Regions from separate parts of the Mus musculus genome. Here all the other regions are reported to be linked to region 5. The links are microRNA targets in miRTarBase. Many come from high-throughput screens and were not tested one by one. Region 5 holds a microRNA gene; each other region holds the end of a gene's coding sequence. Distances are from middle to middle.
The links. Region 5 holds the annotated microRNA mmu-miR-181a-5p (AACAUUCAACGCUGUCGGUGAGU, at 1,307-1,329, opposite strand). A microRNA usually pairs through its seed, bases 2 to 8, with sites in the 3' UTR of a target mRNA and lowers its output. Matches are read on the target gene's strand: a 7mer-m8 pairs with bases 2 to 8, a 7mer-A1 pairs with bases 2 to 7 and ends in A, and an 8mer does both.

Region 1 (4,000 bases), not on the chromosome of region 5:
TTGCATTTTGGTTTTGAAACCCTGAAGACTCTCCTGCAAACACTCACTCAGCCCTTTGCCCCGTGTCTGTGTCTGTGCATCTGTGTGTCATCCATGGTCAGACTGATGTCTGGACCAGTCCCCCCTTCTGCTTGTCCCCCCAGGTTCTCCCCAATCACCATTGACGGGATGACAAGTCTTGTGGGAATGAACATCCCTGGTCACACAGGGACAGGCTGGTGCATCTTCGTCTATAACCTGTCCCCTGATTCTGATGAGAGTGTCCTCTGGCAGCTCTTTGGCCCCTTTGGCGCAGTGAACAACGTCAAGGTCATCCGTGACTTCAACACCAACAAGTGCAAGGGATTCGGCTTCGTCACCATGACCAACTACGATGAGGCAGCCATGGCCATCGCCAGCCTCAATGGCTATCGCCTGGGAGACAGAGTGTTGCAAGTTTCCTTTAAAACCAACAAAGCCCACAAATCCTGAATTTCTCACCCTTACTTATTAAAATATATATATAAATATATACGAACAAAACATGCGCGCACACACATACACAAAAGAGAGAGACAAACTTTCCAAGGCTTATATTCAACCATGGACTTTATAAGCCCGCGTTGCCTAAGTATTAAAACATTGGATTATCCTGAGGTGTACCAGGAAAGGATTTTATAATGCTTAGAAAAAAAAAGAAAAAAAAAACAAAAAAATACCTTTGATGCATTGAATGTTCTTTCATAGCTGTCGTTGTTGAATATAATATACATAGATAGCAATGTGCAGGGATTTTTACCCAGCCAGCTAACTTTACCACCTTCCTTGAAGGTGGGTCTTTTTAAGATGACCATTCGCTCATTTGAAGAAGAAAAACAAAAAACACAAAAAAATAACAAACAATTTTTACAAAGTAATGGAATTCAAAGGAAGAAAAAAAAGATTTTTCTTTTTTGTCAAAAATGTTGATCCAATCAGATTGGTTAAAAAACCCCCACACAAATTAAAGAGGAATAATAAAAATTGCAAAAATGAAAAAAAACTTTTGCAAATTTTTTTATTTTTCCTTTTTCTTTTATATCATGTGAACTAAAACAGTCTTCTGTTAGGGGACGGGGAAAGGGGGTGTACCTGATGACATTAACAATTTAATAACATTAACATTGTTGCCAAAGAGGTGGTCTCTTTGCTGAAAATGGGTTTCAAGAAAAATCTATTTTTATAAAATATAAAGAATTTTTACAAGAGAATCTGGATTTGAGAAAAAATATTTTGACTGGCTAATTTAGGGGAAATTGACAACTTTGTCGCGTTCATACTGCACTGGTAACTTTTTAGAGATCAAGATGTGTGTTTTAAACTGGATTCGTAGACTGTTTTTTGAAGGATGGGCTATAAACAGATGATCTTCATATCTTTTCATAGCATGTAATAATAATAAAAAATATTAATTGCTAGGGAAAAGGAGTGTTCGTTCTACCCAGGGTACCACAGTTCCCCACAGTCAAAACCCAAAAGCAAGGAGATGAGTTGAAAGACAGTTTTTCTTTAAGTCATCAGTATGGGATGTCAGCAGAACAAAAATTAAAAAGATTCATTTTCCTTTTAATCTAAAACTTCCTTAGTTTGAGCAGTAGGTGCTACAGAATTATTTACATATCTTAGTATCATAGTTAAATGTAAGCGTGTTTAGGAGAGGAGACACAAGATACATTTGCTTTACATTCGTTAAGCAATTTTCTAATTCACTTTGTAGCCCGTGCTGATAAAATTGGGCTGTGTGGGTACATTTGAAACACTGTTTATGTTGCTTGAAACACTTATTTATTTAATTGCAGATGTGATGATGATGCCTCTGGCCAAGATCAAATATAGCTAGATTGGCTAGACTACTTGTTTGTTTACTTAGACTTTGGGAAGAAGCATATTACTGTGTCCTTCTGTTGTGTGTGTGTATGTGTACATATAATATAAATATATATATAAAGTTATTTTTTTCCTTTGGTTAATTTATTATAAGTTGTAACACTTGGCTAGTTTTGTTTGTATATGTCTTAAGATGTTTTCTTATGATATTTAAGTGACAGTTAAAGAGGTATCAAGGTAACTTGTGTAGAACTATTGTTTGATATATTGTCATGTTTGTTGTGAATATTTTTTCTTACTGCACAGTAGAAAATTAAAAAAAAAAACTGGGTCTTTATTTTAATGTAATTCAGATTGGGGAAAACTAAACAGAGCTAAGGGAACAAAAGGACCGTGGGAGCAAACTCCCACGTCCAGTGCACTGATCATTTTAGTACGTTTGTGCTTTGTATGGTTATATATTTAAAACAAAAATGAAACAAAAAAAAATACAAGAGTTCATGCTCTTCCCTGGGTAATAGAAACAGTTACTCGCTATGCATAATCTAGTTGATAGTAAAATTTGCTATTGCTTTTCTTGTCTTGTTACATAAAATCTTTTCAATACAAGTTTAGTCTTAATGGTAATAAAACGTTATGGTTATTTATAACTTGTGCTTATTTTGTGCATTTTTTCCCATGCTGAACCCACTAAGTGCATGTAGACAGGACTGTTGTTTGCACATTGAAGAGGCAAACTTTGTAGTAGTCGTTGTAGTGGTAGACAGATAACGAAAACCGAGGCTGCATCATAGACTACTCCTTTAAATTTTTTTTCTATTTTTTTTTCCTCTTTTCGGTTTTTGGAGAAAAATAAATAACACCAGATTTCAGTTCAGAGAACACTCGTTCAACATTCAGGGAAACCTTTATATGTCACCTGCTATGAATGAATGCAGTTTGCTGGCAAAGTTCTGATGCATTTGCTAAGCATTCATGGGAAAGGCATGCCAAAATCTCTTCTCTATGATGTGTTCAATCTGAGGGAAAAAAAAGGAAAAAAAATCTTAGGACCAGGCAGTTGTATACTTTAGTTATAAATGAATGACTTCATGTTAATCTTGCTAGTTTAGATGATTTCTGAGGGAAAGTATTGTAAATGTTTTTTTTTCATAATCTTGTTGTGTTTGAATTATTTGTACTTTATCTGTCCAGACAATAAATGAAAGTGTGTAGAATGAATTTGAGCTTCCCAAATTTTTAAATGTGTTTATTCGAACTTTTTTTTCCATAGTCTATGCAGAGTTCCCTGATATGCTCTCGTTACATAAATAAAGGAATAGAGTAAAGTTCTGTTTTGCCCCTTAGCCCGCTCTGTCAAGGTTACTCAGTATTTAGAAGTCATTGCCCTAATTGTATGCTACTTAAAAGTATGGTCCCTAACAGGCAGTACCTTGTCCTCCGAGAGCCCGTTAGAAATGCAGAGTCTCGGGCTGAAGGCAAATTTATACAGAAGCAGATCCGGGATGAATCACAGGCCCTTTAAAGTTTGAGGCACACTGTCTATTTGGTAAGCCAGAAGATTTGGTATTTCCTGTGGCATTATGACATGTTCCTATCAGTTATTTATAAGAATACCTGTGGCATGTTAGGAAGACAAAGGTCACTATTTACAAAGCACCCATAATGCTTCAGCCAGGCTGTGTGGGGATTACTATATATATTCTGTCACTTAATTCTCTCAGCAGTCTGTGAAGAGCAGCTAGCATCATCCACATGTCACAGGGGATGCGGGCAAGGCTCCATGAGTCGAGTAACCTATGGAGGATGCGGACTACTTGTTCTGACAAGAAAGATCATCTTTTATCATTGAGCTCACTTTTATTTAGAAGAAGCAAAGACATGACTTTCTATTTGAGAAGGAACTCGGCACAGAGACTTGCTTGTGCAGTGTAAAAAGGTCAGGACTTATCCACGACCTATGAAGGTTAAAAAGTGTCTTCCTTATCATGAAGTCACGTTAAAATCTGCCCTGAACTTTACAGAATGAGTGTTTTATCCGTTTCTGAATGTGATCCTTCCTTGATGATCTACTGTCTGTCTTTCATTTCCATTTTCTCACTAATTGAAAATTCATAATGCCCAATAAAACATCCACCATCCGTAAACTGACACT
Region 2 (4,000 bases), 73 Mb from region 5:
CTGAGCCCGTTGTGGGCTTTTATCAGGGTGCTAAGCATCTGAATCCAGTCCACTGCTTGTGCGTTGGTACTTTACCTACTGAGCTATTTTTAGGTAGTTGGAAAAGATACATTTTTTACCTAGTGCGTGTACACATGCATGGGAGCAGATAAGTAAAGAAGAAGCAGTAGGTTCTCACCATCAGCCATGTGGGGTTCAGGGGCTGCGCTCAGATTGTCCAGCTTAGCAGCAAGGGGCATTACCAGTGTGCTGCCGCATCAGGCAATGCCAGTATCATTTCCTGAGCATTTCTTGTATAATACTGAACGTTTGCTTATTTCAGCTGTTTCTCTAGAAAACATTCTGTTCTAAAATTAGTGGAATGGAGTTTATGAACATAAATTTTTTTGTGTTTTTCATTTTTAGGGAGGCAGCAAGAGAATGTCGTAGAAAGAAGAAAGAATATGTGAAATGTTTAGAGAACAGAGTGGCAGTGCTTGAAAACCAAAACAAAACATTGATTGAGGAGCTAAAAGCACTTAAGGACCTTTACTGCCACAAATCAGATTAATTTGGGATTTAAGTTCTCTCCTGTTACGGTGGAGAATGGACTGGCTTGGCCACAACCAGAAAGACAAGTAAACATTTATTTTCTAAACATTTCTTTTTTTCTATGCGCAAAACTGCCTGAAAGCAACTACAGAATTTCATTCATTTCTGCTTTTGCATTAAACTGTGAATGTTCCAAAAACTACTTCCACTTCTGCCCTCAAGAAATGTGCAGCGCCAGGAATCATGAAGAGACTTCTGCCCTCCGTCTCCACCACCCTCAAGAAGTAATCATTTGCTTATTTGTAAATTGTTGGGGGAAATGAGGAAAATGAAATCTTGGCTTTCTTATTTTTGTTTTAGGTTTGTTTTGTTTGTTTTCTTATTAATGACTTCAAGGTTTGTTGAGCTCCATGATTGCCTTAGGGACAGTTACCCAGCCTGCTGAGCTGACGTAATGTGTGGGCCACACAGGAAAGTAAGGAAGGTGCAATGAAGAAGTGTTGACTGCCAAATTAATGTTTTTACACTTTCATTGTGAATTATGTCGAACTATTAAAAACATCCTTTAAATAAGGATATTAGTGTGGTGTTGGGAGTAAACTTTATATGTATGTTCCTTTCTTCAGCACTGACAAGTTGTCCTTGGTGCTGAGAAGCACGGTATTGGCTACAGTTCCTCTGTAGGGCAGTTGTTGCTTCTTCATTCAGTTCTGTGTGTTCAGCAGTTTGAATACATTAACAGAAGTAACCAACTGAATGGAAAGCATGGTTTTGAATTTTGAGTTAAGTTAAAATCATACTATAAAGCTTATTCTGGTGAGTACTAAGTCTTAATGAGTAGGTGCTGGCCAGGAAGCTAACTCCTTGAGTTATACAATAAGGTGTTTAATAAATAAAGACTTTTGTCCTTGCTTTCCGAATCCTCATACTGTCACTCATTTACCTAGTCCACTGCTGCATTTACACTGTGCAGCCAACAGGAGCGTTTTCAAGATGTCCAGCCAAAGTGATGGAAAGTACTAAATAGACAACCTTTTCTATAGTCATATTTTTATCAGAGAATCTCTTGGGATTTTTTTTTTTAAATCAAAGAAGTTACAAGGATGTGATTCTAAAACATTGTGTTAAATGCACACAAGAAAAGTAATTTCCTTCAGACATTGGAGTGTGTGCTATGGTACAATATTTGGCAAACACTTTTTTTTTTCTCCTAAAAAAGGTGGTACTGCTTTAACTATCCAAAAGCTGTTCTGTTTCTGAAGATGTTTCTACTTACATCCTTACCTATAGTCTACATTTATGTGTAACATTGTTTCTGATAAGACTTAGTAATAACTCATTTTTTTTTTATTAAACCTAATAAAATCTAAGAGTTACCTCTTTAAAAGACAAATATGAGGACAGTGGAGGCTGGCATGTTAGGTTACTTCACGTTTGAGGAAGAACTCAGACTCAGAAGAGTGTCTTATATTTGCTTTGGGATATTAAGAAAGTTAATATTAATATCAGTATACGTATGAGCGGGAACTGTTTGGCCCATTTCTAAGCTAAGACTAGGTTGCTATCTGTAAATGTTCTACGTTGTTTATAACAAACCATTGTCTTTTTTCAAGGATGAACAGTTTGTGAAGGACATGATTCTAGGAGTTGAGTGATGTAATAATCCTTCTGTCTGGACAGTTCACCAGATTCTCCAGAAGGCTTTCAAACGGCTAAAGTTTGATCTTTGTCCTGCTGAGCTTGCTGGGAAGGAGATAGCATAAAAGCTGTCTGTGCTAGCAAGTAGATGTATCATTTGCTAAACGTGGTGAAACAAAAAGGAAGCAGAATCACAAATCTGTCAACAAACTGGAATTACTTCACATTAAGTCAGAATGTCAGATTGAACATTTTAAATGTCACAAGTGGAAAATTTGCCTAGCGTGCAGAAGTTGTAATCTCTAAGTGTCTATCTTCAAAAGTCGAGGTTTTCTACATAATGAGGAAACAGGTGGTCTCCTTAACCCTTTAGAGACCAAGGCAGTCTCAGCCATACTTCCTAGTTGGATGGATATTAATTTACAGAGGCCTGGGTCTTTATGCTTGGAGCATGACTGTACTAGTTTGACACCAGTTACTTGATAATGTGAGAAATATATGGTGTTGTGAAACCTGACTTTGAAATTTCAGTTCATACAGAAAGAAATCAAAGCCTCTTTAATGCAAGCTGGATTTTTTTTTTAACATGAGAATGAGAAAAACAAAAACAAAAACTTGTTTTTGAGCTATGTGGAGAATCTTTATTAAGAAAATGACATAATTTTTTAAAAACTCTTATATCCAAAATTGTATGTGGCCACATTATCGGTAATGTTTTCTCTTCATGTTGGCCAAAAGGGAATGGAACTGTCATAGGAATCTGTACATATGCTACTGATTTGCCTAGAGAATAGAAGTTTGGTACTGCTCACTTTGCATATATATAGTGGCACTTTTATCTATAGGGCAGATTAACTCTAATAAAAATGAAATGGGGATAGGTTTATTTTTGATATATTACTCTTCTGAGTTTTCAAGCTTTGATAGTGTTTAACTGAAAAATGGTTTAGAAAGGGCTAGATCCAATATGTTCATATTTAAAAAATTGATATGAGATACAATTTAAGTTCTTTATCAAAAGCAAGTACCATATTAGCAACCATCATATTGTCCTAGGTGCTGTGCTTGTTTAGATGGTATAGTGTGGGTGGGGACGTGGCATTTTGTAATATATGTGTACATATATACATACATACAGTATATCATCTAAATGCTCTGAGAGCTGGTATGTCAGGAATGCTGAGTATTATAGCGTATTGAGGTCCGGTGAGATTCCACTTTGCTGTGCTTTCTCCTGCATCTCTTCTGGTGTTTCAGTGACTGTTTTACTCCAGCACTCACAACTGGGTTTTCTCTTTTCTTCCAGTTTTTTATTAGGTTTTTGTTTTGTTTGGCTTGATGCTTTTGAGTATGTTACCAGTCACTTAAAAACTCCTAAACCCCAAGCTCTTTTCCCCCTGCTTTGTTTCTGGCAGCTATAAAATTGGTAAGAACATTTTGAAAAAAGGTTTTAAGAGAATTGTTTCAAGAATCATTTTGGGCAAAGACTTTTCATGTTTCATTTGAACAGGGATTTTTGTCAAGATGTGTTTTGATGGTAGGCCAGCAAGCAGTGCTACTGTCTAAAGCACAAACCAGTCAGGCAGGCTGTCCAGCCAGAAGCCCTCTTGGCTGAAGCCGGTCTCTGCCTCTCAGGACTCCTCCCTACTATTTTCGACCATTTAGGGTGACATGGAATCATACAAATATTGGGGCTTAGAAACAAACATTTATATAACCCGGAATGCTTTTACGTACTTGAAGTGACTTCAGTCAAAATGTTGCCTTTCCTGTTTAGGAAGCTTTGGTTCTCTGTTGACTCGTCAGCTAGTAACACAAATCGGTTTCTCTA
Region 3 (4,000 bases), not on the chromosome of region 5:
CTCTAACACACATAAGAGATGGAACCTATTCCAGATGACACTTTCAAATTCTTGCACATTTGAAGACAGGAAAAGAGGCCAGTATACAAACTTCCCGGTGTGCGGTGTGCTGTGTGTGCAATGGAACCATTTGCATTGGAGTGGACATCCTAGGTGAGGTGTGGGGGGGAGGGGAGGGGAGGGGAGGGGAGAGCAAGCCTTGCACTTCCTCCATCACTTTCACTGACCTCCTCAAGGGAGGGGGGATTGGAGAGGGGAGTAGCACATTCGTGCAATCAGAAGGCCACTTGAGGGGGGGGGCAATTGTTCTTTTTAGAATCTGGTACCTGGCTGACCTTGTTTAAGAACAATAAAACCTTCCAGAATTGGAAGCCTTTTGCTACATACCAAAAATAAACTACACATTGTTTTCCAAGAAAATACCCAGTTGCATTTGAAAAAAGAAAAAAAAAAAAAAAAGAAAAAATTAAAGGAAAACTTAACTGGAACTAATTAACATTTAAAAGGGGCTCTGTAAACTTTGTGCTATTCAAATGAAGTTCAAGTATTACTTCTGAGCTGTTTAAAGATCACGGAACTCATACAATATTCTGGTGATAAAGAGTACAATTCACATTTGTGTTTCTGAACAAATAAACCACAACTGGCTAGAACACAACTTGTGCAATTAGAATCTTTGTCTGAGTTAAAGACACATGCTACATATTTCCACATGTTCAAAGTTATTTCAAACCACATATTTAACAACTTTGTCATATACAACAAGAGTGAAAGGGCCTAGCATTGGTTTGTTTGAAGCACACCATTATAGTTTGTATAACACCCTTTACACTACAAAGTCTTTTAGTCAACAGCTACTTAGACACAAAAATGCACTATGCATCAACTTGAATACAAAAGGAGACAAAACTATCCTTTCCCCCCAAGCCATGGTGGGAAATATTGCTGACCTCGTCCTTTGAAGCCTGCAGGATGGTTATTCTTCAGTAGAACATTATTACACCGGTAAGAAAATCTGTATAATATCTGCATATATCAAGGATTTTTTAAAAAATCTGATATGATTTTAGAGTCCGCATGACCAGTCACGTGACCTGCTCAAGATTGATTAGCACCGTTAAATACATAAACACACACATATGCATGTATGCATGTGTAAGTATATGGAGACATACACGCATATATGTATGTGATAGATCTTTTCTTTAAAAACAACAACAACAACAAAAAACTAGCCGTACGCTCCCCCGGGCTGAGGAGCTCTGAAATGATGAGATGATGGAGTAGATGGATTTCACAACAAGATTGGTCTAGTCTGTCTCTCTTCAGTTTCTATGTTATCTTTACTTCTCTTTTTTCCGTTTCTCTTTCCTTTTCTTTTCTTTCTCCCCTTTCCTTTCTTCTCTCTCTCTGTCTCTGTCTTTCTGTCTCTCTCTCTCTCTGTCTCTCTCTCTCGCTCGCTCTCTCTTTTCCTAGCAGACAATATCATTCAGCTTGTGCTCACTTTCCCTATAAGGGCAAGAAAATGTCAGGTAGCAGCTTGCTTCTATACTGAAAGACTAATCCACCCACAAAGTGTGTCCAAGGAGAAACAACGGGACTTAGAAGCCCATGCTAAAGCTCAGCAGCTTATGTTTTCTCTGTATTCAATGGAACTGGCTACTGAGACTGTCTTTCAGGCTAGCAAGTAGCTTCTTAGTTAAGGCATCATAACTGAAAATGGATACGTCAACAATGGATTCTGTGGATGAAGAAATACCAAACTTCAAAGAACTCTCAAAAACTGAAGCTGTGTACTTTGCCCTGATGGCAAGGACAATGAATTCAGCCAATTACAAACTAGACAAGGATTTTCTGAACTACCAGTCTGTCACTTGTCACAGCAATTAAATGTATAAGCTTGACTATTTCAATAATTAGCGGTATGTCATAGTTGTAGAATATACATTCTGCAGCATTTCACTCACCACTTGTTCTAATGACTTCCTGTTTGAAAAAATTATATATTTCCCAAATATATATATCTCTATATACCTATATATATACTACCATAAAACAAAGGTCATCTTTTGCCAGAATCATCATGAGTTTTCCTGGGGATAAACAAAAGGGTTTCCCATTGACATCAGTAAGTTTTCTTTGTGCCATGGGAAGTATAGCCCTGCAAATGAGCTAGGCTCTAATTAACATATCTGAATGCCATCTTTACAGGTCTACCATATTATCTGTCAACACAGAAATGTGTTTCTATCAAAAGGCTGTAGTGCAGAAAGAGATTCAAACTCTTTGTAGTATCTCTGAAACTCAGCATTGTCTCTGTGATAGACAAATTTGAAATCATAGTATGTATGAACTTTTGTTTCACTAGATTATCTTTATCATGTCTTAGTAGCTAAAGTTGTCTCTGGCCAATTATGACTCATTGAAACCTAAAGCTAACAAATTTAAATGAATACAAAATAGACAAATGTCTTTTTGGTTATTTGCTCAAAATAATTTTTTTCAGCTAAAAAAATACTTTGGAGTAAGGAATTTGTGTAATCTGTTGTTTCTTATATAGAAACAATAAAATTTTATAAGAATATTCTCTAAATTGCCTTTTTAAACCCCTCTTAATTTGACTTAATTATAGTCTTCTCAAAGGCACTAAGTTCTGCATCTAATCTCTTCCCAATATATGCTGCCTTTCACAATGATTTCCGCGGCCCATTTGAAAGGTAGCTTATGCTTTTCTAAAACAGTGTTGTAGGTTGTAAATTGTTCTATAACATGAGGCAGTCTCTTCTACAGTAACACAGAAGCACAGAAGGCGTAAACAGTTCCTTGCTCTCTGTGACAAGTCCTATCATGGACCTCTGAATGTTCATTACTTACTCTAAAGCTCACTCATTTCAACCATGGGAAAAAATGTGTACTTGACCCAAATACTAAGCTGTCATAGCAAATAGAATTTTAGGCAAATTCATGAGTAATATACAAATACCTGAATTTGTTAAGAATTAATCCCCAACTCAGCTATCAAAAAATGACAATCTTACCGAAGAATACTAAAGACAAATCTAATAAACCCTCAGAAACAGCATACTTTCTTCCATCCACAGTCAAAAGAAGGAAGGAGGAAGAAAAAAAGGAACAAAGAAAGACAGAAACCTGTCTGAGATAGCAAAGCAAAAAAAGATACCTAATATTGTAAGGAAAGAAAACTTCAAAAGCTGTATGTGCTGAAAAAAAAATTCAGTGATCTAAAATAATAAAACAGGATCTTCTTAACAAATGCCATTGTCCTACCCGTTACCATGATGCTCTTAACTAACAATGTCGAAGCTTCACCATGGCAACGGAAACTATCATCATAAAATGGTACAGTAAAAGAGATAGCTAGACCAAGAAGGTGTAGGGTCTCCTGGGAAGAGGTCTGCAGAGAGGCCCAGTGACTGGTTGTGCGGCTCAGTGTCAGGAATAATGGTTGTATGGCGGAAGGGGATGCCCGATGCCATTTTGGAAATGATGATGCTGGCGATGAGCAAGGTATTCAGCATAACTCAAGGTCATCTTTTCACTACGGTACCTGAAGGGGAAGGCGGGGAAGAGAAAAGTTAACATTGAGAAACACATGGTATGCTATTATCAGAGCCAGAGGGACTCTATGAGATCATTTTATATAGTGGGAAACAAGAAGCCATGAGAGAAGCAATTAGTAGCCCAAAGTCACAGACTTGGTAAGCAGCAAAGCTGAGATCAGAACACTGATCTTAGTGCTCTTTCTGCCCTTCTACTCCAGGAATGACATTGTCCCTTTTACCCACTTTGCTATCAGGAAGGAACAAGGAAGAGGCTATCTTTTACCATCATGTCTCTATCGCCATCATAGACACATCTCATTCATTGGGCTCCTTTTATAGCAGAGACCTTCCATCACTTCCCCCTTTACTCTTCCTTTGTTCACACATCTTGGGTCTGCTCTATGCTACACGTCAGTACTGAAGCCCTCTCACTTTGT
Region 4 (4,000 bases), not on the chromosome of region 5:
GTTATCGCTGTTGTTTAAGTATTCTAAAAATTTAAAGAAACAGACTTAAGAAACCACCGCTATAGCAACTGTATTCTTGTCCACAGGTGGAGACATACTTCGCCTTGATACGCTTTTAGAATGGTGGAGAGAGAAGAACGGTTCCTTCTGTTCCCGGCTTATCATCATCTTAGACAGCGAGAATTCAACCCCATGGGTGAAAGAAGTGAGAAAGATTAATGACCAGTATGTTGCAGTTCAGGGAGCTGAGCTGGCGAAGACAGTAGATATTGAAGAAGCTGACCCGCCACAGCTGGGTGACTTTACTAGAGACTGGGTAGAATACAACTGTAACTCCACAAACAACATCTGCTGGACTGAGAAGGGGCGCACAGTGAGGGCCGTGTATGGCGTGTCAAAGCGCTGGAGCGACTACACGCTGCACCTGCCGACAGGAAGCGATGTGGCCAAGCACTGGATGTTACACTTCCCTCGGGTTACGTATCCGTTAGTGCACTTGGCCAACTGGTTATGTGGCCTGAACCTCTTTTGGGTCTGCAAAGCTTGTTTTAGGTGCTTGAAAAGGTTAAAAATGAGTTGGTTTCTTCCTACAGTGCTGGACACAGGACAAGGCTTTAAACTTGTCAAATCTTAATGTGGACATCAAGGAAGGCTATTATTGAGAGTTCATGTTACCATTTATCAGTAACTTGCCATTTTTTGTATGCTGTATTTTTATTTGTGGAAAGTATCTTGCTACATTTGTAGCTGTTCTCACTTTGTCTTTTCTTAAGTAATTATGGGATGTGGAAGATATTGGGAATATGCATGATTTTATACTAAAAGTATATGGAGGGTCATGAAAATGCTGAATGTAAATGTGTAAGAGATGTTAAAAGTAACAGTGCACTTTCAAATAACTTTCCATTTGTCTCCAATGAAAAGAAACACAGTTGTCTGTGCTCTGGAGTGGCCAATGGACAATTCCTAATGCCTTATTTTCTAGGCACCCGTTAGAGAATGTAGACCAGACAAGTGTGTTTTAAGAGAACTACCAGTTTACTTAGTAGGAGATTCTTTCATGTGTGTGATTCATATAGGTTTGGCCCCAGGACTGTTTGCAGAAGTATAAATACTTGGAGCAGGAAGAGACCTGCTCATAATGACTGCAAAATGCCCTTTTACCACCACACCCAGATGTCTTGGCTATGACCTTTACAGTACAGCAGAAAAGCCCCAACTGCCTTTGAGATGAAAGCATTGTTAATGTAGGTAACAATAAGAGCTTACATGCTACAAAGTGTTCCTTCATGGTTAGTGAGGGACTTTGAAAATACTGGTAAATTTAAGAGTCCTTCTCAGGGTAATTTTGTTTTCTTAATGAGTAGTATTTCCAGCTACAAATTCCTTTCAAGTAAATTGCCATTCTTTTCAAAAAGTACACACTTACAAAAATAAATGTATCAGTTTCTCATTGACCGATTCTTCCTGTCTTACGTATTTATGAGGAGTTAGTACTCTGCCATGAAAGTTGCTTTTCAGTCCTATTGTAATAACTTTTTTCTGCTGAAGGTCAAGGATGGGAACAGATCATTTTGTTGTTGTTGTTGTTATATACCTGTATTGTATTATGTAAAAAAGTATTCATTTTGGCAGTTTTAGGTAAGCATAATGGTATGGTTGTAATTTGTAAACTTTAATTCAGTGTTTTGTTGGAGTAAAGTAGGCGCTGATCAGGATATCTCCTTAAGAGGTAAGTCACTTCCTGTCCCCTTCCAATTATCCTTACATTCTAGATTTTCATCTTTGAAAGAGGGAGGTATAATTAAAGTGGAGATTAGACTTTGTTACCATGGTGACTTCTCACCGTTGAAGCCATTTTTCCATGCCCAGAGAGGGAAGGTAACGGATGCATCTACCATTTTCTACCAATGACTTGAAAACTGACATTTTATTTAGAAAGAAGTCACACCATCAGGGAACTTGTATACTGTTATCTATGCAGCATTGCTACAGCCTATTTCTATGTTTTGAATATTGTACTCTTAATACTTTGAATAATATTTTGTTAAAAATTAATTTTTCATTTAATGTGAAATTAAGAGTTCCTGAATATTTTACTGTATTAAAAGTGGAAGTTATACAAAATGCCTTTGCTTTTAGAGTTTATGTTTGGTGGCATGTTGATTTGAAAATATTTCCTTATTCCAGAATACTGAAGAATTGATACAATATTGAAAGTTAGTGGCATCCTATATACAATATTTTTTTTAAAAAATGAATCTTGTTTTACAACTAGAAATACAGATAGTAAATTTCACTGAATAAATCATTCATTTGTGTGCATCTTGAATTTCAGATGGGTGCCATTTCACATCAGTTTTGTATAATTTTTAGGTTCTTCAGGTCCACAATTAAATAAGGAAACTAGCGTTGAGATGTTACCTTGCTGTGCACATATCTGTGTATCAGGAGCTAGGCTCCCCTACCTAAGTGGAAAGGCATTGCTCTCTCTAGCTCTAATCCTACAATTCCTTTCTTCCTTTCCATATGAAACAACTCTATACACAGCCATGGGTATTGTCTATGATCTAATTATTCTAAGTATTTTTCTGTGATTGATTTTATTACACCTTCCCAAATGCTCTTAATAATTTAACATAGAAATTTGTATTTTATAAATTATGAAACTAAGGCAGTGGACTCTTACAAAAATGACAGAATAATAAACTGCTCTGAAGCTAATTTGAGACCCACATTGTGTCTCAGACTCAGCTCTGGTTCAGAACCCTTTACTACTTTCCAATCAAATGTCTGTAGTGTGTCTGCTGTCCTTTTCCTCTCATGGTAGGATGAGCGTTCTTGAGGCTTTGACAGGGAACTCCTTCAGGCTTACATTGTATGGGTTATAAATGTATGTACAGCAGTATGTACACAAACATGTTCCTTGTATACAAAAGTTCACATTTTTTTTCAACTTTCACTGTATATTATACCCATAGCAACCCAAGCCCCACACACAGCAGTCCGCTTACATTACTCCTGGTAACTCACCAATTATCTCCCTATTGTCAAGTGAGTAGGCATTATTTCTGTTGCTTTCCAGAGCATCTTTTAACTACTTACCCCCCTGTATGTTTGGTTTCTATAGTACTATTGACTTTCTTGTTACTACTCATGACACCCCTTAGTATGTTGGTCTATTTTCTAACCCTTTCTCTTTATAATTAGTATATTAACCTGAAGATCACTGCCGGGTCCGTCAGCTGTGTTCCAGAGCCTTGTTCACGTGTGAGAACTGTAAGTCTGTAAGTCATTGATTATTCTCAGATGTCTTCCTTAGCAGTTGTCTCTGCACGTGTGTCTAGCATTCATGTACTGAAAGGTGCCTTTTGTGTATTACTCAGTTCAGCAAGTGCCAGTGAAGAGTCCACCTTGCCCTACGTGTTGCTCCATTCCCTTATAGCCTATGTATGTGTGCACTCTTCTGCTGGCTACTCCGAGCTTTCCTCTTGATTTCCCTGCTTCCTTATTCCCAGAACGTTGCCAGTGCTTTTGGTATTTGCAGAGCTCCTCACTTGTCTCCCCTCCTATTGCTTTTGTCTTACAAAATCACTTCACTTTCTCAACCATCTCAAGTCCTGGTTTTTGTTTTCTTTTCTCTTTGGTTTTGTTCCTTTCTAATTAAATCTCCATATATTTTTCAGAGCTAATCTATCACTCTATGAGCATGAGACTGGTTTACCATTCAGCAGTATCCTGCCTCTAGTCATCCCTCATTTTGTACTAAAAACTATCTGCAAAATCTTTAGAGGAACTATTGGGTTTCAAAAAAATAGTCTCATGTGGATTAACACCATGCTGTGACATTTGTCCCAGTTACCACATTTAGCCTCCTTGGCAGAGTAGACAGACAGTGCTGTTGGCATAAATCTGGTATGATGGATTTTTCCCACATCTGTATGAATCACATGCACCCAGGAGAGGTGGTCAGAGTAGATGACAGGCATAAACAGAAGTT
Region 5 (4,316 bases):
CAGACGGTGGGAGAAAGGAGTTATGATAGATAGAGATGCCCCAAGCAAGGCAGGCACTTGTGAACTAACTACGTAAAATACTGTGGGAATGAATATTCTGAACACTAGAGCAAGGTCCCAGGAATGGATTTCTGTAGTGGGAGTTGAATGTATATCATAATAAACTGATCAAGAGAGAGAAAGGACAATATGTTTGATAGATTTTTTCCCAACGAATTAAAATCTATTAGGTACCATGTACTAGGTACCATGTACACACTGTATGCTGAACATCCTGTTATAAATATTAACTCCAACCACTGTACTTACTATTGGAGGTGATGAACCTTAATGACAGATGTTCTTTTTGAAATTATAGAGCCAAACTAGTTAGGAAACACACACACACACACACACACACACACACACACACACACACACACACACTTGCTTGAAGACAGTCCCTGGAATCAAGTCTACCATTTCAGAAGAAAGTAGAGGGTAAATAAAGATGATGAACTATAATCTTAAATCTGAGGTCTCTCTGGGGAAACAAATCTATTGCATGATTATAATGAGCCCCTGGATAACAAAGTACTTGGCTATTGAGGTACTATCCCTCTGCCTACCAATTCCATAGAGAGTAGAGCCATTTCAGCGATTCTTTATGCAGAGCAAAAGAATTCCCTCTTGCTTCAAGCCCATTTTGACCAAGAAATCTAATGAAAGATGAGGGGATGGTTATTTTCTGTGTAACAATGTGACGGATAACGGGGCAGGAAGTAAGATATTTCTTTGGTTCTTCCTCCCACCAGCACAGCAGAGCAGGAAGCCGTGCCAACCCAGGGCTACACAGTTGATTCTGGGCATCCAACACTTTAGCATTTTTAAGAAATGCCCCATTTGTAACCCCCAGGAGTATAGAAAAGCAGTATTCTTATATAAATTAGTGACTTCCTCACAGAAATAGGACTTGATATGAATTGAATAAACAAACCTGAAAGTTCAGACAGCAGAAGTTAAACCGAGAAACGGCGTTAATACCCCCAGGACCTCTATTAGGGAGGGAACGTCTGTTGATTGCGACAGCAAAAAGCGGGGCCACAGTTGCATTCATTGTTCAGTGAGCTTTTCTACACAGTTCAACCCACCGACAGCAATGAATGTTGATTGTGACCTTTGTAAACATAGTCTCTGAAGAGGCGGGGAGAATCCTGTCGGGTCCTGCTTTGCGGTTCTGTCTTCAGCAAACGCAGAGGGCCATGGAGTAGATGATGGTTAGCTATAGGGTACAATCAACGGTCGATGGTTTTTATTTGAATTCCAAACTCACCGACAGCGTTGAATGTTCACTGAAGCAACCTGTGAGGCAGAGATGTGCTGATTTAAACAGTATCTGTGGGAGTCTGGAGCAGGAGGGAGGCAGAGGAAAGCCCAATCCTTTAACCAAACCTGTCACACATTTTAAACCATTTCAAAAGAGTACAGAAGAAAAGAAGCAGGATTCCTCCAGCCCAGAGCTTGGCAAACCTCCACTTTGTGCTGTGTCAAAGAAAAGAATCGGATTTTTTTTTTTCAAAAGGGAAGAAAAGTCCTTTTGGGGGGAGCTTAGTTACAGGCTGTTAAAGACAGGGAGAATTTATCATTCAACAAAATTGGAACTATCAAAAAGCAAAACAAATAGTATCTAAGTATCTCATAATTTAAATATTGGTATGTATATAATAAGAACTGCAAGGACGCATGTAGGTCATGCAGAATCAAGCAGAAACCACTTAGGTTTTCTCAAGTTACATTGCTAACAATTTTGAACTTCTATGTTTACAATGTGCATGGAATAAGCATTTATTTTACAATAGGCATTTTAATTAGTATAATTTCTTTTAAACATACTTATTTTTAAAACAATCAAGGAATCAAACCAATTTAGCACATCTTTCTTTGCTTATGACACAAGACTTTAAACTACAATGAAAATTAATACAACCTATGCCTACTGCCTGAAATTCAACTCCTCTCACTTTGGTTATTATATCCTAATATTGTTATTTGTTTTGATTGAGTGGATCTGGCAGTAACTTCTATCCATTTCCTAGGTGTTCTTGAAATGAAGTGCATTTACAAGTTAGTATGAACTCTATTGAGCATGTCTTCAAAACTGATTTCAAATATCAACTTAAACAAAAATCCCTTTGTACTCCTCAAAACTAGGGTAGAAAGTTACTACATTATACTTATGTAGACTCTTAAGTGGCTTTAATAAGTATATATATATATATATATATATATATATATATATATATATATATATGTGTGTGTGTGTGTGTGTGTGTGTGTGTGTGTGTGTGTGTGTGTGTGTAACTATTAATAAAATATTGGTGAACCATTCAGTCCAAATTTTTATACATATTCATTTTATTTACTTAGAATATTGTATGCTAAACCTGTAATCATTTATTATCTTGTACACGAAGAGATTACAGGACAAGTGTCTCTGGCTGGTATTTTGAGGTAGATAAGGTAACGATCTGCTGATGGCATGCATTCAGACTTCAGATAGTTACAAGACATAAAACTGATGAATCTGAATAGTCCTGTGTGGCTTCCTTTGAGATAGCTTTCCTGCAGAGGGCTGTCTCTTGTGGAAGGAAAGCAAGTCTTCCTGGGACCATCTGTGTTATCAGTTTCACCAGAATGCATGTTGCTCATGTTCCCTTGCTTGACCACTGCACTATCATATTCAGGCCAGCATCCCATTGCTTCTATACATACCTGTCATTGCTTTTGATATCATTTTTTCAAGGCTGCTGAGCTGAGACTCTAAGCCATGATCATTGCCTTATCTCAATATACAAAATTGGAACTACGATCAAGCAATTTCCATCCGAATCACAATTAATAGCAAAGCACCGCAATGTGAGGGGTTTCCAGAACCTTCTAAAATTCTCTGTAGAAAATATAAGTCCAAATTTCTCAAATTCTTAGAATAAAATTACGGAGAATACTATCATGAAGTTCTTAGGAGATTGAAAGTGATTGGTGTTTAGTAAGAAATTAGATTAAACATCACATCACTGACATATTTTAACTCCTATTTATCCAATGAAACATGTACTTTTCTCATGGCTATAGTTTTTGATGAGAAAAACCTCTCAATAACTTAAACTCACTCTCCATGAGGAAAAGCACCTCTGCTCTTGCTGCACCTGCCTCACAGTAAGAGAATAACTTCAGGACGGTATTCTACAGGGGAAAGATGTCTACTTGCTGATTTAGCTTACCTTTCCTCGGCTTTCTACAATGCTGGTTCCAATCACTATTTTACTAGCTAACCTTGTCTGCACTGTTATTTTCCAAATTTGATAATTGGCTGGAATATTAATGTTGGACAGTATTGAAATTTTACATTTTCTGTCAGGTGTCGAGTCTTATTTGACTATTTTTAGAAAATGTTAAGATTCCAGGATTCTAAATTGGTGTTAACCATCTGCTTCCTTGCAGTTTTTCCTGAATCAAGAGCCACCAGAAATATGTCATTTGTGTGCACGTAGGCAACCATTCTCCCTTCATAATTTTTGGAAGGTCTTCTGGACAGGTTAAAACTGACTTGCACCATTGCCAAATTTACTTTAGCTTTTATTTCTCCTCCCGGGGCTTTGGAAGCATTAAGAAGTTCAGCTTTGCTTAAGGTTAGCGGGTCATAAATAAACCAAAGCAATTTCTTTGCTTTGAGCAAGAGGGTCAGAGAATACATGAAATATCACTTTTAAGCAAAGCAAACTTTAACATGAATTGACAGAGGAGCATGAAAAAGAAGCACAGTGCGCCTCAGTAAAAGGCCACAGGGATTCGGGATGCTGGGCTTGTCTGTTTTAGAAATAGACTGTATATCTTGTTTGATGACCTGTATTTAATTTAAGTGACTGCCTCTGCCAGTCCTTTCCAGAGGGCAAGTGTGTGAAATAGAGCATCTCACTGTCACTCTGCAGCCCTCTCTTCTGCCGGATGCCTTGACCTGAATTGGGATGGGGGCATTGATCTGACAAATGAGAGGGAAGGAGATGGCGCTGCCACGCACATTTCATCCTTAAATTCTAGTCAGCTGGAAATTGTCTTCGTGGTCTGGGGTAGGAACACATTCATAAGCTCATTAAAAACTAGTTTTCTGCTGTGAATATGACTCTTTTCAAAATGCAAGAAGTAAGAAATGTCATACTCGCAGTAGGAAACATTACTGCCTCCTCCTTTCCAAAGCAAGCGCATGCCCTCTGTGAAATATGATGAAGAAGATTCCAGAATGACTGGAGTTGGTGTTCTCAAGACGCCACTTCTTAATG

Region 1: miRTarBase lists Elavl4 as a target of mmu-miR-181a-5p. Seed matches in the 3' UTR shown: 7mer-m8 at 710-716.
Region 2: miRTarBase lists Creb1 as a target of mmu-miR-181a-5p. Seed matches in the 3' UTR shown: 7mer-m8 at 716-722.
Region 3: the mRNA of Ammecr1 is a reported target of mmu-miR-181a-5p. Seed matches in the 3' UTR shown: 7mer-A1 at 1,944-1,950.
Region 4: the mRNA of Tmem168 is a reported target of mmu-miR-181a-5p. Seed matches in the 3' UTR shown: 8mer at 849-856 and 7mer-A1 at 998-1,004.

The regions. Positions count from the first base shown.
Region 1 is chr4:110,202,803-110,206,802 of GRCm38, reverse strand. It overlaps Elavl4 (ELAV like RNA binding protein 4), which reads left to right. Exons shown (of 7, transcript NM_010488.4): 7 at 102-3,066. The coding sequence ends at 471. Among named protein-coding and RNA genes, the nearest start is that of Gm33070, 52 kb to the right of the region's middle.
Region 2 is chr1:64,596,829-64,600,828 of GRCm38, forward strand. It overlaps Creb1 (cAMP responsive element binding protein 1), which reads left to right. Exons shown (of 9, transcript NM_009952.2): 9 at 406-4,000. The coding sequence ends at 550. Among named protein-coding and RNA genes, the nearest start is that of Mettl21a, 19 kb to the right of the region's middle.
Region 3 is chrX:142,852,080-142,856,079 of GRCm38, forward strand. It overlaps Ammecr1 (Alport syndrome, mental retardation, midface hypoplasia and elliptocytosis chromosomal region gene 1), which reads right to left. Exons shown (of 6, transcript NM_019496.4): 6 at 1-3,568. The coding sequence ends at 3,454. Among named protein-coding and RNA genes, the nearest start is that of Ammecr1, 110 kb to the right of the region's middle.
Region 4 is chr6:13,579,421-13,583,420 of GRCm38, reverse strand. Tmem168 (transmembrane protein 168) reads left to right here. Exons shown (of 5, transcript NM_028990.5): 5 at 87-2,732. The coding sequence ends at 634. Among named protein-coding and RNA genes, the nearest start is that of Tmem168, 27 kb to the left of the region's middle.
Region 5 is chr1:137,963,481-137,967,796 of GRCm38, reverse strand. It overlaps Mir181a-1 (microRNA 181a-1), which reads right to left and starts at 1,342; the gene lies at 1,256-1,342. It overlaps Mir181b-1 (microRNA 181b-1), which reads right to left and starts at 1,158; the gene lies at 1,079-1,158.